Linked DNA regions of Sus scrofa. Each later gene encodes a partner of the first gene's protein in a complex. Links are inferred from orthologs where the notes say so. Each region holds a gene or a part of one and is shown in the gene's direction. Other genes may lie near its edges.

The links. The genes of interacting proteins can lie anywhere in the genome.
Region 2: the proteins of EIF4A1 (region 1) and PDCD4 are in contact, whole or in part, in a crystal structure (PDB 2ZU6), measured with the Homo sapiens proteins. The link is inferred for Sus scrofa from reciprocal best matches to the Homo sapiens genes EIF4A1 and PDCD4. Residues at the interface, in NP_001407.1 of Homo sapiens: Gln75, Thr109, Arg110, Glu111, Ile135, Gly137, Val140, Thr158, Gly160, Arg161, Asp164, Glu186, Leu188, Ser189, Arg190, Gly191, Phe192, Gln195, Ala214, Thr215, Met216, Pro217, Glu240, Leu241, Thr242, Asn280, Thr281, Arg282, Arg283, Thr329; in NP_055271.2 of Homo sapiens: Pro170, Gln173, Glu174, Glu177, His178, Glu183, Glu186, Met187, Asp190, Leu209, Glu210, Lys212, Glu249, Leu250, Leu252, Asp253, Thr254, Pro255, Arg256, Gly320, Gln321, Gln322, Ser323, Val324, Leu327, Glu348, Lys352, Glu355, Val356, Pro357.

The regions. Positions count from the first base shown.
Region 1 is NC_010454.4:52,870,374-52,875,891, forward strand, and holds the end of EIF4A1 (eukaryotic initiation factor 4A-I), read left to right. Parts: intron 1-400; coding exon 401-540; intron 541-1,423; coding exon 1,424-1,592; intron 1,593-1,916; coding exon 1,917-2,026; intron 2,027-2,178; coding exon 2,179-2,322; intron 2,323-2,399; coding exon 2,400-2,537; intron 2,538-2,672; coding exon 2,673-2,762; intron 2,763-3,027; coding exon 3,028-3,107; intron 3,108-3,206; coding exon 3,207-3,351; 3' UTR 3,352-3,563; downstream 3,564-5,518. UniProt on the Homo sapiens protein: ATP-dependent RNA helicase which is a subunit of the eIF4F complex involved in cap recognition and is required for mRNA binding to ribosome.
Region 2 is NC_010456.5:121,322,455-121,328,514, forward strand, and holds part of PDCD4 (programmed cell death protein 4), read left to right. Parts: intron 1-121; coding exon 122-343; intron 344-2,170; coding exon 2,171-2,268; intron 2,269-3,181; coding exon 3,182-3,296; intron 3,297-4,902; exon of another isoform or gene 4,903-4,963; intron 4,964-6,060. UniProt on the Homo sapiens protein: Inhibits translation initiation and cap-dependent translation. May excert its function by hindering the interaction between EIF4A1 and EIF4G. Inhibits the helicase activity of EIF4A. Modulates the activation of JUN kinase.

The DNA.
Region 1 (5,518 bases):
GGCCTGGGTAGAGTGGCATCTGGTTGGTGGTGCCTGTCTCATATCAGCCAGGGACAAAGCAACTCCTTGTTTATCCCAGCTTGGCTTTTGGTTTGTGCCTATGCCTGGTTCATGCCCTGGACACATGGATTGTTGGCTTCATTTAAGTCAGGCTCTTGTTTTTAGGCAGATTATAATTTTACACCTGTATTTGTAGCCCAGCTTTGGGGTGCCATGCTAAATGAGTTGTTGCCTTCACCTGGCTTCCAGGTCTGCCTTGGTACTGTGTTGTGGTATCAAGTCTGTGAAGCACTTACTGTTTGGCACATATACGGACCCTTCTGTGGGTTATTTTTCAGTGTCCCATGATTCCAAAGAATATTTCCTGCCATTAAATTTCTCTCTCATTTTGTCACTTTAGGTTATGATGTGATCGCTCAAGCCCAATCTGGGACTGGGAAAACTGCCACTTTCGCCATATCAATTCTGCAGCAGATTGAATTGGATCTAAAGGCCACCCAGGCCTTGGTCCTGGCACCCACTAGAGAGTTGGCTCAGCAGGTGAGATTTTACCTCTCCCCAAAGGACTCATTTAGAAATGAATAATAAAACCCAAAAATCAGAAGTATGTGCCCCGACTACCACCACCTTGGAAGAACTGACGTATAGAGAATGAAAGAGATGAAACAAAGTCAGTTGATAACTTGTAGATCTTTTGGGATTTATTAGGTTAATTATAAACCTTAACCAAGCACAGTAAGCATCCTTTACTCCACCCGTTTCCTGAGTCAGATGTGAAGGCTGCTGGGTGGAATGTGACTGGCTGGGCAAGTTTGGCTCTTCTATGACCAAAACCCCCTGGCAATGGGCAAAGAGACACCTGATTGGTGGTGTTGTTCTTATATCAGTCATGGGAAAAGCAGATGTGTATATAGTCCTCTGTTCATCCTAGCTTGATGCCTGGGTTGGTGGCCAGAGCTGTTTCATGCCTAGGACACATGGAATGAACTGTTTTCCTGGGTCTTAGAGGAAAAGGATCAGAGACACCTGTCTCATAAATTGACTGTTTTCTTGCCTATGAAGTGAGTGTTTAATAGTGCTTGAGTTGTTGGGAAAAATAAATTCATAAGCATTTTTTCCCCCCTGGGGCCACACCTGTGGCATACGGGGAGGTTCCCAGGCTAGGGTTCCAATTGGAGTTGTAACTGTCGGCCTACACCAGAGCCATGGTAACATTGGATCCAAGCTGCCTCTGCTGCCTATACCACAGCCCACGGCAATGCAGGATCCTTAACCCACTGAGCAGGGCCAGGGATCGAACCCACAACCTTATGGTTCCTAGCCAGATTTGTTAATCACTGAGGCACGACAGGAACTCCAGTACATAAGCATTTATGAGATGGAGCCTGGTGACTATAGCTAACACAGCATTTTATCTTTTCAGATACAGAAGGTGGTTATGGCATTAGGAGATTACATGGGTGCTTCCTGCCATGCCTGCATTGGTGGTACCAATGTGCGTGCTGAGGTGCAGAAGCTACAGATGGAAGCTCCCCACATCATCGTGGGTACCCCAGGCCGTGTGTTTGATATGCTTAACAGGAGATACTTGTGTGAGTGTCTCAATTTTCCAGGTCTCTGGGTCACTTCCTTAAGCATGTTTTCCCAGTTTTTTTTTTTTTTTTTTTAAGCATTGCTCTGTGATGAACCCCATGCGTGTCATCTGAGCCTGGCTTCCCTGTCAGCTCAGCCCAGGTAGTGTTCTACTTCTCAGGGCTGTTGTCTGGCCTTGCAAGGGGCTCACAGGCAAAGGATCAATCTTTGTATTCTGAGAGCAGACCACCTATCTCCTATTCTTTATCTGGGAAGAAGTGAAAGTATATCTTACCTTTTTTAAATACCTGTTGGTGTGTGTGTGTTTTTTTTTCTTTTGTTAGCTCCCAAATACATCAAGATGTTTGTATTGGATGAAGCTGATGAGATGTTAAGCCGAGGGTTCAAGGACCAGATCTATGACATATTCCAAAAGCTCAATAGCAACACCCAGGTGAGAAGAACATTGGGGTTTTGCTCGTGTGAGTGGTGATTCCTTTGTACGGATGGTAGTGTTCTCGGGGTGAGAGACCATTACAAAGTGCCAGACAAACCATAAAGCTCTGGAGGACCTGCTACCTCCCCTGAGACTGTTGTCCCCATTAGGTGGTTTTGCTGTCAGCTACAATGCCTTCTGATGTGCTGGAAGTGACCAAGAAGTTCATGCGGGACCCAATTCGAATCCTTGTCAAGAAGGAAGAGCTGACCCTGGAGGGTATTCGCCAATTCTACATCAATGTGGAACGCGAGGTGGGGCCCAGTGCAGGAGGCGGGCCTGGCAGGAAGGCGGGGGGATAGCCCCTGACTGATTTCTCCCCCACCCCCAGGAGTGGAAGCTGGACACCCTGTGTGACTTGTACGAAACCCTGACCATCACCCAGGCAGTCATCTTCATCAACACCCGAAGGAAGGTCGACTGGCTCACGGAGAAGATGCACGCCCGAGACTTCACCGTCTCTGCTATGGTGAGCGCCCGCCGCCACCGCTGCGGCCGTGGTTTCCCAGCAAGAGGGGGGCTGTCACAGGCCTACTTCCCCAGCCAGTTCTCGCTGAACCAGCACACCTACCTGCTAACAGCCGCCTTCTGTTTCCTGTTGTAGCACGGGGACATGGACCAGAAAGAACGCGACGTCATCATGAGGGAGTTCCGCTCGGGCTCCAGCAGAGTGTTGATTACCACGGATCTGCTGGTGAGTAGAAGCTGAGTAGAAGCGAGTGTGAGAAGACTGGGGACCAAGGGCGGATCCAAGGTGATTCCCTCTCCAAGGGGCCTGCTTGTGCCCCTCTTCTGGAAAGTAGCAGCTTGGAATAACATCTGGCAGGCCTGAGGCTCTGGCGGCGAGGGGCTGTAAACATCCTCTGCCTGCCTTGGGCTGCCCACACACACGCCTCTCCTGGACAGACTCCTCCCTCTCCCTGGAGTCACCCACTGAAGCCGCCTTCTCTCCCACACAGGCCAGAGGCATCGACGTGCAGCAGGTTTCCTTAGTCATCAACTATGACCTTCCCACCAACAGGGAAAACTACATCCACAGGTAAAGACACCTGCCAGGCTGCCCCCCCCCGCCCAGTCCTCCCTGCACAGCAGCGCCCCGGTCTTCCCCATCTTCCTCATACTCTAACTTGTTTCCCAGGATCGGTCGTGGCGGACGTTTTGGCCGTAAGGGTGTGGCTATTAACATGGTGACAGAAGAAGACAAGAGGACTCTCCGGGACATTGAGACCTTCTACAACACCTCCATCGAGGAGATGCCCCTCAATGTTGCTGACCTCATCTGAGGCGCTGCTCTGCTCTCCCAGCCCCAGCCAGGGATCCGACCTGTCCTTGAGGGGGGCTGAGGAACAGCAGCAGGGGGGAGGGAAGGGAGCCAAGGGATGGACATCTTGTCATTTTTTTCTTTTTTTTTTTTTTTCTTTGAATAAATGTCACTTTTTGAGGCAAAAGAAGGAACCATGACCATTTTAGACACCCTTTTCTTTGGGGCAGGCTCTTGCCCCAGGCGCCGGCTCTTCTCCCAGAAACACTAATCCATTTCCCTAACCTCGTCAACTTTCAAACCCAAGGCTCTCCCCACCCCAGCTGAATTCTGAAAATAATTCAGTGGGGGCTGTAATGCCCCTCCACCTCATTTGCTGGACCAAATCTGGAGGGAGAGCCCGAGTTAAGTGGCCCAGGGCACTGTCCCCAGGTGGGGGGGGAGCAGGGGAAAGAACATGGTAGCCATTTTTACATTGTTTTTGTATAGTATTTATTGATGCAGGAAAACAAACACAAAATTCTGAATAAAATAACTTGGAAACTGCTTTGGCTTCTCATTTCTTACCTCTCCTTCCCCTACCCCGCTACTGGGTAGGTACAGCTCTGCTCCCCTGCTGAACTGGGTAACCGGTAACATGACTCTTAGGAAGGGGCTGGGCCAGCACAGTCATAAGCAGCTCACATGTCTCTAGGCAAAGAGGAAGTGATCTGAGCCCAGAGAAAGGGGAAATCAAAGTTGTGATCTTTACACCCCGTTGAGCTTGGGGGGTGGGGGGCTGTGGCTGCAGGCTCTGGTCCTTTGATCACCTGCAACCCCTGAGCATATTTTCCTGAGGTGGACAAGAGTCTCCCAGGATCGACTACCCCAAACTCCCTTCTCACGTAACACAGTGCCCACTTTGGAAATGCCAGGGCTAATCACTAGGTGACACAAATTTGATGACTCAGGAGATTAGTGGCTGGAGCTGAGGTGCCTGAGTCAAGTTGGGGGCGGGGCTACCAGTTAACAGGAAGTCAGATTTATTTCCTTTTCCCAAAAGGCTGAGGGATTAGGATTGAGAGAGCAGGCAGCTGGGACCCACACAGAACTTAGCTGGATTCTGAGTGCAGGCTGTTCTGACATGACGTTGGCTGTGCTCTTCTTAGGGGCCCTGCTGGGACTCCTCGCAGGTAAGGCGAAGGCGGCTGGGGGTGGGGGGTGCCCAGGGAGAAGCCTGCCCCTGGGTTGCCAACCAGTTCTTTCCTCTGCTGAAAGCCCAGGGAGCTGGGGTCGACTCTCCTCATAAAAAATCAGCCACTCTGCTGCCATCCTTCACGGTGACACCTACGGCTACAGAAAGCACCACCAGCCACAGAACCACCACTCCAAGAACCACCACCACAGGCACCACCAGCCATGGGCCCACAACAGTCACTCACAATCCTGCTACCACCACCAGTCACGGAAATGCCACAGTTCATCCAACAAGCAGCAGCACTGCCACCAGCCCAGGATCCTCCACCAGATCCCCCCACCCAGGGCCACCTCCACCCTCTCCAAGTCCTAGCCCGGGCTCCCAGGAGGCCATAGGAGACTACACTTGGACGAACGGCTCCCAGCCCTGCGTCCAGCTCCAAGCCCAGATTCAGATTCGAGTTCTGTACCCAACCCAGGGTGGAGGAGAGGTGAGGACAGGCGGGGAAGGGCACGCAGCCTGCTGCCCTGGTTCAGAAGGGGAGGAGTAGAGGGGGCCAAACCCAGCGTGAAGACCAAAGGAACAAGGAAGGAAGCTTGACTGGCGCAGCTGTGCAGTCTTGTGACCCTCTCATCTTTAACTTCTGCAGGCCTGGGGCATCTCTGTACTGAACCCCAACAAAACCAAGGCCCTGGGGGGCTGTGAGGGTGCCCATCCCCACGTGCGCCTCTCATTCCCCTACGGACAGCTCACCTTTGGATTCAAGCAGGTACTCAACCCTCATCCCTCGCTCTCGGCCTCCAAGCCCCCTATGCCTCCAAACCCCTTGCCACACTCCTTAGTCTGTGTACCTGGATCTGCCGCTGCCTGAGTCTTCCTGATCACTTCCCCAGCAGCCACAGGAGAGCACTGTCTACCTGAACTACATGGCTGTGGAGTACAACGTGTCCTTCCCCCGGGCAGCGCGTGAGTTACCTTCCCCTTCTCATCATTTGCACCAGATGTCTGGGCT
Region 2 (6,060 bases), on another chromosome or scaffold:
ATGACTTCTCATTATTTCCAAACAGAGAGAGGTAAGGATATATGGGTAAAATCTTGATTTAAAAAAAATTAAATTGAACTATAGGCAGTGACATACTTTTTTTTTTTTTTTTTTTGAATAGGAAATGCTAAGAGATTTAAATCTTGGTGAAATGAAAAGTGGAGTACCGGTGTTAGCAGTGTCCTTAGCCTTGGAGGGAAAAGCTAGTCATAGAGAAATGACATCTAAGCTTCTTTCTGACCTTTGTGGGACAGTAATGAGCACAAATGATGTAGAAAAATCATTTGATAAATTGTTGAAAGAGCTACCTGAATTAGCATTGGATACTCCTAGAGCACCACAGGTTTGTCTGATTCTTCTTTTTGTTCATTCTCTCCCTTTACATATGCTTGCAATTATAGAACTAATAACATGCTCCTAGGAAATTTTAGTAGATGAAAGGGGAAAAACTGGCCATAGTCCCTACCACACAAAAGTAGCCCTCTTTAACATCTTGCTATAGTTTTCCCTGGCTGTTTTTTTTTTTTTCCCCTTCAAACATAGTTTTCATCACACTATGATTTTATGTCTTACTTCCACCCCATGCTCTGTGTAAGTTTTGGGTCATATATTTTGTTCTGTCTCTCTGTTCTCTATTACATGTACTTAAGCTGTTTCATGAGCTAGGTTTTTTTTTTTAATGTAGATTATTGAGGATTGAGTTTTCTTGACTAATGTTTATTATAAAAATAATCATAAATAAGATTATTCCCTTTTGTAGCTTTGTGGGGAAATAATTAGAAAATTCATGACTTATGTATGCTTTTATTTAGATTCTGTCCTCAAAGCCTTATACTTTTATTAGATTTAATACATGCTGACACTATAATATGACTTTCTGGTTTGAAATTGAAAACGTGTGAAATCGTTGCTATTTACCTGACCAAAGTTTTAAAGCAAGGTAGGAGCACTTTACTTAAACATTAATTTAGGAATAGAGTATAGGTAGGTTAACCTAAATGCTATTTCTGTTACACTTACCTGTGATAGTAGTCTCTGTTAGTATTGAGCTTTGTTTCAAACTTGAACTTTTTTTATCTTTTTGGCTGCCCAGTGGCATGTGGAGCTCTGGGGGTCAGGGATCAGATCTGAGCCACAGTTGCAACTGAAGCTGGGCCAGGGATTGAACCTGTGTCCCAGTAGAAACTCTTTTTTTTTTTTTTTTCCTTAATACCAATACCTATACTTAAAAAAAAAAAAATTGTCCGGAAGTTTATATTCATTATAGAAGTTTTGCCCAAAAGGAAGAAAGGCCAGCAAAAATAACCACTGGTAACTGTTAACATTTTGATATTGAATCTTCCATTCTTCTTTTTGTATGTATGTAAATGTATGGTTTTTATATATCCTTAAATTTTAAAATTGTTTTAATAAGTGGAATCAAGAGTTGCCTAGTGATGCAGCAGGTGATCAGGTGTTGTCACTGCTATGGCTTTGGTCACTCACTGCTGTGACGCAGGTTTGATCCCTGGTCTGGGGTCTTCTGCAAGCTGTAGTCTGCCCCCTGCCCCCTCCATTAAAAGTGGAATCATATTATTTACGCTATTTTGTAAACTCGATTTTTCTTACACCATAAAATGTGATAAACATTTTGCCACATGGTGTACCATCCTGCATATACACCATTTAACCACACCTTTATTGTTAGACACTAAGTTGTTGTTTTCAATTTTTAGAAGAACTAATGCTGTGGGCATACTTTCAGATAAGTATTTCTATACAACTTTCCACTCTTAAGTTAAATTCCTTTAATTAAACAGTTTTTTTTTGAGAGACTATAGTCCAATTTTCTTTTTTCCAGAAGAGAGGTTTCCCTTGACTATTAAGCCATTGACTTAAGTATTTTTAATTATATGCTATGTTTCAGGCAGTGTGCAAGGTGTTGGGGATTCAGTCATGAGCAAAACAGATGTTTTATGCCCCTCCATGGCACTTAACCTAAAGGTTAAGATGCGGGAGTGTTATGCCAAGCATAACCAGTAGGTGCTAAATGGGTGTTTTTTTAATATTCCAACATGTCTTAGGTATTCACTGTGTAATTCAGCCTGTCTTCATCATTTATGTATTTAGAAATTGTGTCCTATGAAGGTTTATTTTGGATTTTTTAATATAGCTTTTTTTCATTATATAGTTGGTGGGCCAGTTTATTGCTAGAGCTGTTGGAGATGGAATTTTATGTAATACCTATATTGATAGTTACAAAGGAACTGTAGACTGTGTACAAGCTAGGTAAGTAAATTAATTTTCCTACTAAGACTTTGAAAATAGGGGAAAGTTCAACAGGATTCTGTTGAAATGACACTTGAATTGACCAGACATTGTAGCCACCTATTTGTTATGTGTATGTACTTGCCACAGTTAAAACAGAATTGAGAGATTCTTGACATGATGCAACAGAAAGAGGACAGTAATATAATGCAGAAGTTCTGTGTTTTAGCTAAACTATTGGCTACATTTATGTCAAGCCACTTTTCTCTCAGCCTCAGTTTCCTTATTTATAAAATGAATGAATGGGACTTAGAGGGCTCTTTAAGTTCCTTTCAAATATTAATATTCTGTAATTAGAAGAATAAGGTGGATAATATTAACAAAGCAGTTTTCAGTTTTATACTTATTTGCTATAGAAGTCTTAGGAAATAATGTTTTTCACTTTTGTTCTTTGGTATAATTGTAAGATAATTTCAGAGTTATGTTAATATGATTTTTCATAGCTTCTTAGAAACTTAGATTTGGACTTAGCTGTGCTTTATGTTTTCACAAGTGTAGATATGAATTTTCTAGGACTACTTCAGCTCATAGTGGAATGGTTGCCATGGTGGAATGTCATGATTCTATGTAAAAGTTAGTTTTAGGTGAAATGTTCCTTCTTAATACAGATCAGTTATTTTGAGATAATGTTATATTTTTGTTGACTGAGAAGTAGAAATAAGTGAGTATGAGAATATTAAATGAGAAGCAACTTTTTTGTTCCCAACTTTTTATTTTAAAAAGTAGTTTTTTAAGAGACTTCTGAATTTTAGGTTGCTTTTATGTTATGTGAAAGTTTTCTAGTGTATGTGTCCCCCCCCCCAACTTTATCCATAATTTGGTCAATCTCAAGCATGTCTATATGTTAAAATTAACTTTTTTTTTATTTTGGTAGAGCTGCTCTGGACAAGGCTACGGTGCTCCTGAGTATGTCTAAAGGTGGAAGGCGCAAAGACAGTGTATGGGGCTCTGGAGGTGGGCAGCAGTCTGTTAATCACCTTGTTAAAGAGGTAACTATGGGGTATTGTCTTTAACTTAATTTATATGAATTTTTTTCTTTTTGGCCATGCCAATAGCATGAGGAAGTTCCCTGGGCCAGGGATCGAACCCACACCTCAGTAGCAACCCATGCTGCTCCAGTGACGATGCCAGATCCTTAACCCACTCTGCCACAAGAGAACTCCAATTTATATGTATTCTTTAGCTGGTATTTTTTTGGACAAAAGTTAAGTTTAGTTTTATAGCTGCAAGTGGAAAATTGAATAATTCTTATATATTGGCTTTATGCCTTTTTGCTATAAATTATACACTAATTGCATAATCATTATTCAATTTTTATGATATTCCTGACTTAAAAATAAGACTATGTTGCTAAAAGGGCTTTCATGAGTAATTAAAAGGAGGCTGTGTAGGAACCTCAAAGGAATATCTGAAGTCTCTTTCTTATTTTGGTATTTTTTTTCAAATACTGTTGATATAAGAGTTTCTGTTTTGTAGTTATTCAGTAAATATCCACTTTCATAAGAGCAGTTTGAAACTGGATGGTCTCAGATTATAATAGTTATGAATTATGAACGTTAGATCAGAGTGCTAGATTTTTCTAAGGAAATTCACTACCTATATGCATGCTTTAAAAGAAAAAGTAGGAGTTCCCGTCGTGGTGCAGTGGTTAACGAATCCGACTAGGAACCATGAGGTTGCGGGTTCGGTCCCTGCCCTTGCTCAGTGGGTTAATGATCCGGCATTGCTGTGAGCTGTGGTGTAGGTTGCAGACGCGGCTGGGATCCCGTGTTGCTGCGGTTCTGGCGTAGGCCGGCGGGTACAGCTCTGATTAGACCTCTAGCCTGGGAACCTCCATATGCCACGGGAGTGGCCCAAGAAATGGCAAAAAGACAAAAAAAAAAAAGTAGATTTTTGCATTAACGCCAGATTTATTCTCTTATAGATTTTTTTTTTTCTGGCAAAAAAGTTAAGTGATGTTCTATAAGAAACTAAAAAAAGTAATCTTATTTGAAGATTTTAAGAAAATTAGATTTATAGTATAGGTGCTTCTGACTTTTGGGTATAATCTTTTCATATGGCTATAGTTTTGATGTTTAATAAATATTTTAATATGTATAACAAGTTAGAATGTTAAGGAGCTCAAAATATAGTTAGAGCTTTGACCAGTTTTGCTTTTATATATGTTAAGGTAGATGAGTTGGTATTTGTAATGTCATGATTGCAATATCTGTTTTTTAAAAAATTATAACATTATTAGAAAATTGAGGTATAAAAAAGCCAAGATACTGTAGCAGTTCAGCAAGAAAATGAAATAGAAGGCATCTAAATTGGAAAAGAGGAAGTAAAATTATCTCTCTTCCCAGATGACATGATCTGTATATAGAAAACCCAAATGACTCCTTAAAAAAACAAAAACACCAAACTATTAATTTATAAACAAATTCAACTCAGTTTAAGGATACAAGATCAATATACAAGATTTAATTCCAGGGATTTCCTGTTGTGGCTCAGTGGGTTACAAACCTGAGGATCCATGAGGATGCAGCTTGGCCTTTGATTCCTGGCCTTGCTCAGTGGGTTAAGGGCCAGCGTTGCTGTGAACTGTGGTGTAGATCACAGAGGAGGCTTGGATCCCATTTTGCTGTGGCTGTGGTGTAGGCTGGCATGTGTAGCCCTAAAAAGCAAAGAAAAAAAAATTAATTCTAGATCTTCTGAACACTAGCAGTGAATGATTAATCTGAAATGAAATTAAGAAAACAGCACAGGGAACTGCATCCAGTCTCTTAGGTAAGAACCCGATGGAAAAATACAAAACTAAACAAAAGTGGGTTTGTATGGGTGACTGGGTCACTGCTATGAAGCAGAAACTGAAGGAACATTGTAAATCAACTATACTGTAATAAAAATTAAAAAAAGAAAGCAATTCCATTTACAACAGCATGAAAAGATTAAAATGTGTAGGAATTAATTTAACAAATCAAGTCTTAGGCACTAAACACTGCAAAACACTTGAAAGAAATTAAAGAAGGCCTAAATAAGTAGAGAGAGATATCCCATGTCAATGAACTGACTTAGTATTGTTAAGATGATAATACTCCTCAAAATTAATATTTTGAGAAACTGCCAGACTTTTTTATGGCATGTGAATTATCTCAACAAAAAAAGATAAAAATTGGAATAAAACTACCAATATATGAATTTGAGATTGACATTATTTGGTTATTCATTTTTTTTATATGGAAGGGTGAGTTGGACAAAATGGACTTTTAGAAATATATACATGTATTATAATTTATTGTCAAAAATGGCATGAAACCCAGTGGGAAATAATAATTTAATAATTATTTTAGGGAGTTCCCGTCGTGGCTCAGTGGTTAACGAATCCGACTAGGAACCATGAGGTTGCAGGTTCGATCCCTGGCCTCGCTTAGTGGGTTAAGGATCCGGCGTTGCCATGAGCTGTGGTGTAGGTCACAGATGTGGCTTGGATCCCGAGTTGCTGTGGCTGTTGCGTTGGCCGGGCAGCTGTAGCTCTGATTCAGTCCCTAGCCTGGGAACCTCCATATGCCATGGGCGCGGCCCTAGAAAAGACAAAAAAAAAAAAAAAAAAAAAAAAATTTAAATACTTAAAGTTACATAACAAAGTTAAAGAACTGATATAATTTAAATAATAAATATATTATCTTTTAATTATAAAGTGAAAATACTTAGTCAAGTGCCATGCTTTAAATACTTTCCTAAAGAATGATAATAGGAATTATTCGTCAAGAT